Oryzias latipes: one gene and its partners. The protein of the gene in region 1 binds, or shares a complex with, the protein of each later gene. Links are inferred from orthologs where the notes say so. Each region holds a gene or a part of one and is shown in the gene's direction. Other genes may lie near its edges.

Region 1 (2,915 bases):
CTCAGGTTTAATAAGTGGATAGTAAACTTTTCTGGATCTTCTGGATTCCTTGCCCCAATATTTAAGGGAGCCACCCTGCACCCATGCACTGGTATCTTGGACCTTATCGTTTTGGATCATGACCCAAAGCTCATGACCATGCAGCTGAGGGCAGGGTCTTAGCTTGATCAGTAAATCTGGTTTGGTGAAGCCAGCAGAGGAGGATCATTTTCAATAAGCAGATATGAAATCCTTTGATCAACTTGTAAGTAGAGGTCATTCCCCAATGCCCCTTCTTGAAAAAGGGACCACCACCCCTTATTTTCCAGTCCAGAGACACTGTTCTCAACCCCCACACAAATGAATCGGTTGTTTCAAAAGGGGCCCAAGTCCACAATTTTTCAAAATAGAGATATTATATGTTCTATGGTCTTCAAGGGAAAAGCTATCTGATTATGTGCAAAAAAGTCCCAAGTCTTTTGTAATGTATTGACTTTGTTTGACATTTAAAATGCATTAAGTGCAAAATTCCTGGACTTGGGCCTCTCTTGCATGGGTTTTGCTCTATCCCATAGATGGCAGCACTAGTTATCCAAAATGACAGCGCCCCTGTTTAATTCAAGAAGGGCCCAAGTCCAGAGACATTAGTTTGTTAGTCCACTGAAATTATAAAAGGGAGGTACTTCATTTTATAGCATTTGTAATCTATGAACTGGTGCTAAATCTGGGTAAAGTATTAATCATTTGGGGTAGCCTCCCTTTAAGCTATGCAATTAATATCATTTCCTGGAAAAACAAACCTCTTGGACTTGGGCCCCTTTTGAACTAACCGATTCAATTGTGCATAGGGGTTTTAACAAAGACAGCCCAGAAACCTGAGGCATTTGGTGCAAATCTCATCTATCCTCTGCGAAGTTCCATCCAGAGGCTTTCTGACTATTTTGATGACTTCAGTCCTTCTCCATGGCCTCCCGAACTCCCCCCAGGCTCATGTGTTTGCATCAGCAAAATATCTGCATCACAGCCTTTACATGATATTCTATTGAAAAATGACTGAAATAAAAAAAAAAAAAAAACAAAACAAAAAAACTCTCATGGATTAAACAAACTTTAGAAACCAAAAAAAAGGATAAACATGAATAGGAAAATGTTGGTTATGGTTTGTTTAGAAAGCTAATGAACTAAATCCCAAAACCAGAGAAATCAAGAAAACGCTCTGGAACAATGAAACCTTTGAAAAATATTTAAGTCAAGCAGTGAGGACTTTTAGAAGGTCAGGTTCCCCATTTAAATTAAAAAAAAAAAAACATTTTAGGAAGTTGTTTTTAAAAGAAAAAGTCTGGACAATTGTAAAGCTTGTTTTCTAAAGGGTAGAAAAATAAGTACTAGTTCAGCATTATTTATAATGTTATGAGACTCAAAATAACAAAAAAATACTAAACTAATTATAATAAATATATTATAAAAAAAGTAAAAGATACATGAGGCAACAAGGTTTTTTTGACTTGCGGAACCAAAAGAACCCAAACCTTAATCAGTTTGTCTCTGTTGTAGATGGTGTGATTGTGCCCCCTGGCTGTTGTTTTCATCGTTGGTGCCTCCCCGTGTGCGCTTACAAGAATCTCTCCCCCTGCCAGCACTCTTTTACGTTGTAACCCCCCCTCTGCTGTTGATTCCCTTAGCACAGGTGCAGCAGTGAATAGCAGCGAGAGCCTCCCTCCGTCCTCCTCCATCAACGACATCTCCTCCATGTCCACCGACCAGACCCTGGCCTCCGACACTGACAGCAGCCTGGAGACCTCTGCGGGACCCCTGGGGTGTTGCAGGTGACTAGCCGCCTGCCTGCGCAACCCTGCGTTCTTCCGTCGGTGAAGAACTATCTACGACAGAGGAAAAAGAAGAAAAAAAATGCAAAAAAAGGGAAAAATGATTATATTGAGAACAAAAACATGAGCTATGGAAACACAGAACATGAAATGCTAAAACCCAACAGCCTGTGCATTGTCATTGAAAACCAACAGTGGTATTTAAGCTGAAGTAAATGAGATATATGGTTATGATCCTCTAGTTGCTTTGCTTATATTACCCCACATGTCTTGTATATGGCATTCAAACAAAAGCAAAGGAACTCTTCATATATAGCACAGTGCTGACAGACTGATATTCCTTCCATTTTTGTTTAATGTGGCAAGGTGGGCTGCTGTTCTTCTTATCACCACGTTTCATTCTAATTTCACGTAATCACTGTTCCTCATCATCTCCATCCAAATTAAGGGAAGGTTGTCGGATTTGTGTGTTTTTACGCAGCGAGTCTTCAGGAGGCTCCCTAAAATACCTGTAAATAATGTAATTCTGTACAGCTCAAAGGAAGACGGTGTGGGACTGACGGCCAGTACTCTGGGAGTTTTCTTATTTTTCCTCCTACAATCACACACCTTGCCACATTACATCTCGCCCCCTCAGTTGTCCACGCCTATCGCTGTAGTCCTGCATGACTAGATTTAAACAATCTCACTGTATGCGTAAAAAAATACAGGCTTCTGTGGATGTACAATGTAAACTAACTCGACTCCAGACGTTTTTGGGGGGTCTTTTCTCAGTGAAATGTGGGAGTGTGTGTGTTTCTAGCCCAAACAGATCAATAGGGGTCAGAAATGAATGTGTTTCCTGGGAAGAGGTTAATCCTTTCTCTCTTTTTTTTAACCCCCTCCTGGCAGAATGTGAGCGCTGCCTCTATCTCTCCAAATGCTGGCACACAGTCCTGCATGTCATTGTGCTCCATTGTGATGGAGAAGGATGCATTTACCTGTGGTGTCATGGTAACAAGGTGACTTTAAGTCCCTTTTAAAACATGTGGAGAGGAATCAAAGACAGGTGAAGGGTGCCAACTCTGTAGTTTGGAGGTAAACACCCTGCACGTACAATCACACTTCATA
Region 2 (4,256 bases), on another chromosome or scaffold:
GGTAAGGATAAACAAAGTTTATAAACACTTTTGTATTATTGACTACTTGTGGTGTTTTTTTAACAGTAACTGTATTTCCCATGCCTGTCTGTGGTGTTTCTTTGAAGTGAATGTTTTCATTTTTTGTCTTTCGCTGCAGAGCTCTGTTGCTGTGATGCCACAAAGCCCCCTCACACAGGTCACACTGAGAGGCTTCCAGACCAGTGCCATCAGCAGGGACATTGACACCGCCGCCAAGTTCATTGGTGCTGGAGCCGCTACAGTCGGAGTCGCTGGATCTGGTGCTGGAATTGGAACAGTGTTCGGTAGTCTCATTATTGGCTATGCCAGGTTTGTTGCCATTTGGTCACTGTGTACATGTTTTTTTGGGGTACAATTCAAATGTTTTCTTTACATTTATTGACTTCTTTTTGTTTGCAGGAACCCATCTTTGAAGCAGCAGCTGTTCTCATATGCCATCCTGGGTTTCGCCCTGTCTGAAGCTATGGGACTATTCTGTTTGATGGTTGCTTTTCTGATCCTGTTTGCAATGTAAAGCACTGCCCTCCCAACACTTTCATTACAGATGTGACTACATATTTTATTGTGGCTTCTAAAATTGTTCAGTGTTGGTGTCATGGAAATGTAAATTTTTCAAGTCTTTCCGACACAGTCAAAATTAAACAAAACATGTACAAACATAACAATGTGCGTGAATTTAATACATGCATTTGAGTATTTATCAGTGGCAGCAACGTCTATGTCTGGAATATCATGGTAACTGAAAGCAGTTTGCTCTCACAAATGTCAGAACATCTTCTCCCCTTGTGAATCAACTTGCTTTCTGAGAGTTATATGGGGTCCACCGTCATAAGCACTTAACTCAGTTGCAGTTAAGTAGAACTGTAAGAGGCAACAAGTGATTACTTGCTTTTGTAAATCACGTTGAATAAATCTAGATTGAATTATAATTTGGGTTTTTGAATTTATTTCCCGACCCCAACAGGGTTTCGAGGTTTGTCAAATGAATGAGTTGCCACTAAAACGGTCCATCAGAACAAAATTCTCAGTTAAAAAGTAATTGTCATTTGGAAGTCAGTAAATTAGTAATATTTGGCAACAAAGTTGACCAAATGTTTTTTTTTTTTTGTAATATAAATTACCCATGTGGTTTGTTTACTGCTTCAATCAAAAATAGTTCCTTGTGATTTAATTTAATATAGAGTACACGATAATGTTTCTCTAAATTGAATTGTTTTAAAGAAATTTGGCCTTTGAGTAAAAAAGGAATGTTAACTTGAGGTGGTTCCGTAGACTGTAAATAAAGTTGTAATGCAGTAGAAATGATGGCAATTATTTATAAAATATTGAATTTATGGGTAAATGGGTAAATTTATGGGTAAATGGGTTTATTAGTGTCCATTAGTATGTTTACGGCGTTTGGGTTAGTGTGACGTTTACGGAAGAAGAAATTGTTTTCTCGCGATACTTTGGGGTTTGGGAAAACAACGTTTGTGGCTAAAGGGGTAAGTAACAACTCAAATTGAAAGCGAGTTTTATTACAAATGCAAAAAAGGGCACCCTTTATCTGAAATCGGTGTTATTTTCTTCCAAGTGAAATTAATCCCCCTCAAATTAAATACCAAAAGGTTATCTGTTTAGTGATTTGTTGGTTCTAACATGGCGACGGCTGTGCGTTATCTCAGCTCAGGCTGGAGCGGAGGATCGGATCATAATGTAGCTTTTGTTGTGTGATGACTTTAGTCGGAATTAAACGTGAAACTTTTTTTTCCAACAAAAAACATGCATAATTTCTTTGTTCGTGTTGAAAAATACACAATCCGAACGACCACACACCGAACGACCCTGCACTGCATCACCGAGCTAATAAATAAGCACAGACAGAGCAACCCCACCTCCTCACTGGCTTTGTCCAAAATCTTATTTGTCCTTTCACTAGATTTGCCCTTAACAGTCCCACTCGAGTCTCGAGTCATTTCTACTATTATCTAAAAATTAACCCTCTAACCCTCCTTTTGATCAGCCACGATTACGTGGTTGTCTTTTCTGTGGCTGTTGAATTTATTTCTGTTTTAAATGGAAATTAAGTTAATTGAGATGAAATATGTTGTTTTTATTCATTTATTGTAGGACAAAAATATAGCAAGAATTTCTTAATATGAGTGATGACAAACCCTTCCAGTGTACTGCTCCAGGATGTGGACAGGTAAGCTGACATAGTTCTTCATAGTTTTTATTTCTTTTTAGTTAGTGATTCAGTTATTTTTATTTTTTGAAAAATAGAAGGAAAAAAACCAATTCCAATGTGTTGTAAATTTATATGGTGGAGTTGTTGAGCTTACATCTTTACATTCTAGATTATTTAAAAACGTTGAAGGTATTATAATATTACATGTTTTGAGATACGGTAGTTGTATTTCTCCAGAGACTAACTTTAATATATATATATATATATATATATATATATATATATATGCATCAAATATGGTAACCAAATATTTGGGTACTCAATGTGTACATTTTACATACATTTGCTATCTTTGCTGATAATATCGAATAATTCAACTAAAAAACGTAGTTTGTGCATTCTTATCAGACATTTTAAAAGCTGAAGTTACTGTTTGAAGGATTTGTGATTATTTGTGGTACAGATAAATCCACTTAAAAACAGAATCACTGGAGTTAATAAAAGCCTGAGTCTGCATCCAATTTGAGGATTCACAAAAGGGTCAAATAATAAAAAGCATCTCTTTTTTGAAGTCACATCAACTGTTTAATTTCTAGTGCCAAAGTAAAGTTGGCTAAAGGGTAAAAATATGTAATTATTGTGGTAAATGTACGCGCACAGTCACAATAAACATAAAAACACACATTAAGCCTATGTTTATGTTTATTTAGGGTTTGATTTCTTTGGATTTTAGCAATGCACCGTTTACTTTTTGAAATTGTTAGTATTTTAACATATTTAACATTGTGAGTCATTGTTGTCTCTCAAAGGATATGCAGAATAAAGTTGTTTTTTTATTCATTTATTTCCTTTTTACCTTGCTCAGAGATTTACAAATGAAGACCACTTGGCTGTCCACAGACACAAACACGAGATGACACTAAAGTTTGGCCCAGCGAGGACCGACAATATCATAATTGCTGGTGAGTCCTTCTTAAGTTTTATGTCTATAGATGTTTGTGTGTTTTTGCCTCCTTAAGTGTGATTTTTTTCTTCTTTTATCTTTTCTTTTCTCTATTACAGATCAAACGCCGACACCCACTCGCTTTTTGAAAAACTGCGAGGAAGTCGGGCTTTTCAACGAACTTGCCAGTCCTTTTGACCATGACTTCAAAAAAGCAGCTGAAGATGACTTGAAGAAGGTTGAGTTTGTTCTGTAACTTCTGTCAAATCTTCTCTTAGGATGATCTCTGAAGTCCAGAGTTTATATCTGCTTTTTTTCTTTTTCTTTTAACCTTCCCAAAGCTACCTCTGGATTTGTCACCTCTTGCTACACCAGTCATACGCAACAAAACTGAGGAACCCGCAGCTGTAGATGCACATCGGAACAGCCCCCTTCCTCATCCTGAGTCCACCACAAACGATGACAAGGTAGATTTTTTTCTGTTTAGTTAGCTCTCTAATGGGTTTTAGGAGTGCTATTAAACATGAATAATTAAGAATCCTCCTGTTTCTGTAATCATTCATTTACTATAGAAATTGTACTTCTTCTTTCACCTGCTTGAATTCTTCGATTTATTTGTTTTTTATTTTCAAACCCCACTCTCTTTTTTTTTTTTATTCAAACACTGCTCTTAATTTTGATTTGGAAATCCTAAAACCAACCAAAAAAATATTTGCAAAAAGTTCTTGTAACTAACTAAGCTGGTGTTCACTAAACATTTCTGCAGCTAAGGTCTTGTATGATGTTTTCAGGACTTAACTTTGCAGCCTGCCTCACTGCCAACATCCACTATAGTCCATCCTGCATCCCTCCAAGTTCCCAATGTACTTCTAGCAACCACGGACGCTAATGTTGTAATACAGCCAGCTCTCCCATCGCCAACATCTAGCTCTGTTATTACCCAGGTTCCATCCACTAATAGACCCATAGTGTAAGTAACGGAATGCGTCCATTTTTAAAACAAATCTTAGTTTTTAGTTTTTTTTAATCATTTTTGTGTAGTTTTGTGCATTTTGTGAGGCATGTGCTTGTATTTTATGTTTATTTTTTTAATCAATCTGCACTCTGGTGTAAGTCTTTCATTTT
Region 3 (4,364 bases), on another chromosome or scaffold:
TCGCCCGATAAATACGAGCTCATTAAGGAAGCTGTTTTTTACGTGGCATGCGCTTCGTACGGAGCTAGCAGCGCCTTTGAAATGCCATGCTCCCCCCATTGCACGGTTAACAGAGCATGACAAATGATAGCCGCTGCTTTCTGTCTTTGTAATAAAACGCCTAATCTGTTAATACAAAAGTATCTTTGTGTAATCTTACTGTGTAGTTCTTAATCATCAGTATATAAACAACAATGTTCAAATAAACATGTAACTAATAAACATAACTTACAAACAATTACTAATAGTATTTTATATATATATATATATATATATATATATATATATATATATATATATATATATATATATATATATATATATATATATATATATATATATACATACATACATACATATTTTATAGGTAGATCTTCAAGACATTGTCGATTCAAAAGTACCCCTGCACTAGACAGTGCGCTTAACCATTTTTCTTGAATGATTTGTGATCATCACTGGTGTCCATGGATTGCATGAAATCTTTCCACCTTTCTCATGGTAGGAATAACACGTCAATGTAAGGGTGGCGTCATCTAAGATAGCACAAGGATTAATTGTCTTGCTTTTAGTAATTCATTGTCAGATCTTCTGTTAGCCTTTTGTTTCTCCCTTAGTTTATAGTTTTGTCCTGTCTACCTTTATTTATTGAATGTTTATGTTTTTGCTACAAGCCTGACCTATTTTAGGCTTTTCCTCCACTGGGCCCTAAAACAAAGGTATGAAAGAGAATAAAACAAGACCTGAAGAACTTGTGACTCAGTCATTTCTAGAGTTTTCAAAATTATTAATTAATTATTACTTATTCATGAATGAAGAAACAGTAAGGGCAAATAAGGGATTTGGCAGTCTATATACTTAATTTGTGACAGACAGACTTTTAAAAAATCCAAGGCATGCAGCATTTTTATATATATATATATATATATATATATATATATATATATATATATATATATATATATATATATATGTTTAACCGTCCTATGTGAAAAATTCAACATTCAACAATATGGCTTAATTGCAGATATTTTTTCTGCTCTATTTGACTTTCTAACTTGAAGTTTTACTGTCAGATTTATATGTTTTTGGTATTTGTTGTTGGTATACCTACACCTTGCCCTGGGACAACAGTTGTAAATAAGTGTTGCAGCTAACGATGGCACATTTATAAAAATAGTAATGATTAATAATAATTTATTATTATTCATTTCTGACTTTTTTTAAAATAATATTATTATTAAATAAGGTATTGTTATAATTATTATCTATTAATTGGTCTAATAAATATAATACATTAAGTTAACAAAATAACTGGATTGCCTAGTTTAAAATAAAAACAAAAAAAAAAGAAGAAGGGGAAAAAAACGTGTATTCCTAAACACACCAGCGCAGTAGCGATTTATCCCACAGTCTCTGAATGCATCACTCTATCACGGCGTCGCTGCACCTTTCAGGTGTTTGTGCTTGAAGCAGAGTCTGTAGAGACATGACAACTCGCCGGCATGGCGGACAGAGAGAAGAAGAAAAGAGCCCCTGCTTCCGGCCGCAGCGTCCAGGTGAAGCCTTCTGCTAGCCGCAGGTGAGCGAACGAGCGAGCCAGCGGAGGATGGACGAGCTCCACGTCCGTCCGTGGGCGCTGGGGGGACGGCTGTTTGAAGAACAGCCATCCTGAGGGCTGCTGAAGCGGAATGAGTGGAGCTGATGATGCCGGGCTCTGACAACCAAAGTAGATGGTTCAGTGTTTGGGCGTGTCTGCTCTCGGGGGACAGAGCCGGTGGGGGCAGCGTTCAGCCTTCACAGGGCGAATGTCGCAACACGTACTTTTTCTTATCTGCTTCAGCTCCCTTAATCCTTGCAGGCCCGTGAATCAGTAGCTTTTTTTTTTTTAATCACACGTCACATCTTGTTATTGTGCATCATTTGCGTCCATTCTCGTATCACCCCACACTCATATTTTGACAAATTCATAAATCTAATCTGTGAATTTTTCCAGCGTTTTAAACAAGCCCAATTCATTTAAATAAACAGAAGTAGTTTGATGTATTTCAGAGCTACCTGGGAGCTAGAAGTGATGTAAATCTCCATCATTATGAAGCTGATTTGTTTGAGGGTCTGTTTTTTGCATGATTCTTATCTAATGACTTCATCATGTTGGCTTTACCAAATCAAAAGCACTTTAAACATAAAAAGAATGCAGAGAAGGTGGATGTGGGAGCTCCAACCCAAGCTTGCATCAGACAGGAGATCACACAGTTCATCTTAGCATTTAAGAGTAAACCAAATGCAAGTGTTGCAGTGTTGGATTACAAGACGAATGATCACAGATCTAATCCATATTCCCCAATGAGAGATGAAAACAAAGGCACACCCAGTGTACAGCCATTCCTTGTCCTACTAAGCTATACGTACAGACCTGGCATTTGAAGTGCATTCCAAATCGCGCCAATTGCTGTTTATGAATGTGTGTTTTATTCCACGGTGGCGCAGTGGTTAGCGCTCTTGCCTCACAGCAAGAAGGCCCCCGGTTCAAGTCCCGGCTGGGGGACATGAAAAACACAACATCAATGGTCGACCTTTCTGTGTGGAGTTTGCATGTTCTCCCCGTGCATGCGTGGGTTTTCTCCGGGATCTCCGGCTTCCTCCCACCTTCCAAAAACATGCTACATAGGTTGATTGGCAACTCTAAATTGTCCACAGGTCTGAGTGTGAGAGTGAATGGATGTGTGATTGAGGATATTCCACCCTGCGACAGACTGGCGACCAGTCCAGGGTATCCCTTGCCTACGCCCAAGTGGCCGGGATAGGCTCCGGCAACCCCGTGACCCCGAAAGGGAATAAACGGTAAAGAAGATGAATGAATGAATGTTTTATTCCATAGTGTTCACACTGGACAAGCAGGGAGGGGCTTCTTCTTATTTTTCTTCTTTTAACTAGTGCATGTTGGCTACACTTGGAGGAGGCTTTGTGCAAAATGTTAGAACGTTGCAAATCTCAGGAATCTTGGAGTCTAAAAAGAGGAAAAATAAATGACAATGAATTATGAAATGATGAGGTTGTGTAATAAATAGCACACCAAGAGACCTTTTTTAAAAATGTTGGAAAGAATTAGAAACTGTTCACAAGTTTCTACTTTGTATTTGCAAGATGTTTATCCATTAATAGAAATTTGATTTCTTTTCCATTTTTATGTTGGTCTTTACAACAACATTCAAAAGGCACACTCAAAGAAATCATTTCTGGAAAACCTATACTCCGGTTTGGATGGTTTGGCGGTTTGACTTTTGGGCTGGGGATACTGGGACTCTATCTGGCAAAGGGAATCTGCTGCACAGAGCGTAATAAACTTGCCATAGTTAGAAAAATCTTTGATACTGACCAGATCTGTGTTTTCTTTCAGTATTTTTTTTTTCTATTGAGGTTTGAACTTTCAGAGTTTACATAAGAGAGAAAAGTGTGAAAATGTTAATATTTGTCTGAGAAAGTCTATAAAGTGTGTATTGAGAAATTTACAGCCTTAAAACATCAGTAAACCTACTTTGCGGATTAAACCCATAGAATGTGGATACATTTATTGCGTGGGGGACCCGATAAACAAGGGAACACCTTACTTACAATCAGGTCATGGTTTTGAGAAGGCGAAGCTTTTTTAAAAAAAAAGCACAGTTAAAGTTAGGTTTATTCTGAGCAAAGACTTTTGGAACAATCCTCTCAGGACAACAAGAGAAATTGTAGATGTTTAGAAATGCAGAGCAGATGTGTGATTGTTGGCTATTTGCTGACTGAAGCACAGCAGCACAAACAACTTGGACTAAAACTGGTCCTTCTTTAAATGCATCACGATTTAGACACAAACGAGTAAGAATTGATGCAAACAATTTAAATATATACATATTTGTGGAAAGTTGTTTTGCAACTAACTGAAGAGTTATTGCAGTTAATACCATTATTGTCTGAAAATTTGTATTCAGCTAATTACAATCTGTAAAGGTGATAGACGTGTATTTAAATTAGCTTTAGACTCCTTACTATATCACATAATGTTAAGTTCAAGACAATATTGTGTTTTTTCCACCAGCGCTTCAAAATCAGAACCTTAACTTAGAAAACCACATTCTCATAAAAATGAAAACAAATGCTTAGAAATTTCAGTGGACTGATGCCAGAAATTCAACATACCACATATCAGACCAATAATTTCAGACTATAGGAGATCAGAAAACTACTATATCAGTCTGTTTGAGCTATTTGTTTTATAGGTTTTTAAAAAATCTAGTTGTAGGATGAAAAATAATTTTCTTTATATTACAACAATTCCAAATGTTTTC

Evidence for each region.
Region 2: the proteins of mitogen-activated protein kinase 10 (region 1) and atf2 are in contact, whole or in part, in a crystal structure (PDB 4H36), measured with the Homo sapiens proteins. The link is inferred for Oryzias latipes from reciprocal best matches to the Homo sapiens genes MAPK10 and ATF2. Residues at the interface, in NP_620448.1 of Homo sapiens: Asp150, Ala151, Gln155, Met159, Glu164, Arg165, Tyr168, Val197, Lys198, Ser199, Asp200, Cys201, Trp362, Glu367; in NP_001243019.1 of Homo sapiens: Lys48, His49, Met51, Thr52, Leu53, Lys54, Phe55.
Region 3: the proteins of mitogen-activated protein kinase 10 (region 1) and mapk8ip1 are in contact, whole or in part, in a crystal structure (PDB 3PTG), measured with the Homo sapiens proteins. The link is inferred for Oryzias latipes from reciprocal best matches to the Homo sapiens genes MAPK10 and MAPK8IP1. Residues at the interface, in NP_620448.1 of Homo sapiens: Asp150, Ala151, Gln155, Val156, Met159, Leu161, Glu164, Arg165, Tyr168, Leu169, Tyr171, Val197, Lys198, Ser199, Asp200, Cys201, Trp362, Asp364, Glu367; in NP_005447.1 of Homo sapiens: Pro158, Lys159, Arg160, Pro161, Thr162, Thr163, Leu164, Asn165, Leu166.

What each region holds. Positions count from the first base shown.
Region 1 is NC_019870.2:10,340,637-10,343,551, reverse strand, and holds part of mitogen-activated protein kinase 10, read left to right. Parts: intron 1-1,661; coding exon of another isoform or gene 1,662-1,666; coding exon 1,667-1,809; 3' UTR 1,810-2,915. UniProt on the Homo sapiens protein: Serine/threonine-protein kinase involved in various processes such as neuronal proliferation, differentiation, migration and programmed cell death.
Region 2 is NC_019879.2:22,381,737-22,385,992, reverse strand, and holds the start of atf2 (cyclic AMP-dependent transcription factor ATF-2), read left to right. Parts: upstream 1-1,429; 5' UTR 1,430-1,505; intron 1,506-2,130; 5' UTR 2,131-2,158; coding exon 2,159-2,206; intron 2,207-3,053; coding exon 3,054-3,150; intron 3,151-3,250; coding exon 3,251-3,369; intron 3,370-3,472; coding exon 3,473-3,598; intron 3,599-3,922; coding exon 3,923-4,101; intron 4,102-4,256. Other genes in the region: atp5mc3 (ATP synthase F(0) complex subunit C3, mitochondrial), read left to right, coding at 1-1, 140-330, 421-535. UniProt on the Homo sapiens protein: Transcriptional activator which regulates the transcription of various genes, including those involved in anti-apoptosis, cell growth, and DNA damage response.
Region 3 is NC_019861.2:7,597,092-7,601,455, reverse strand, and holds the start of mapk8ip1 (C-Jun-amino-terminal kinase-interacting protein 1), read left to right. Parts: upstream 1-1,456; 5' UTR 1,457-1,541; coding exon 1,542-1,618; intron 1,619-4,364. UniProt on the Homo sapiens protein: The JNK-interacting protein (JIP) group of scaffold proteins selectively mediates JNK signaling by aggregating specific components of the MAPK cascade to form a functional JNK signaling module. Required for JNK activation in response to excitotoxic stress.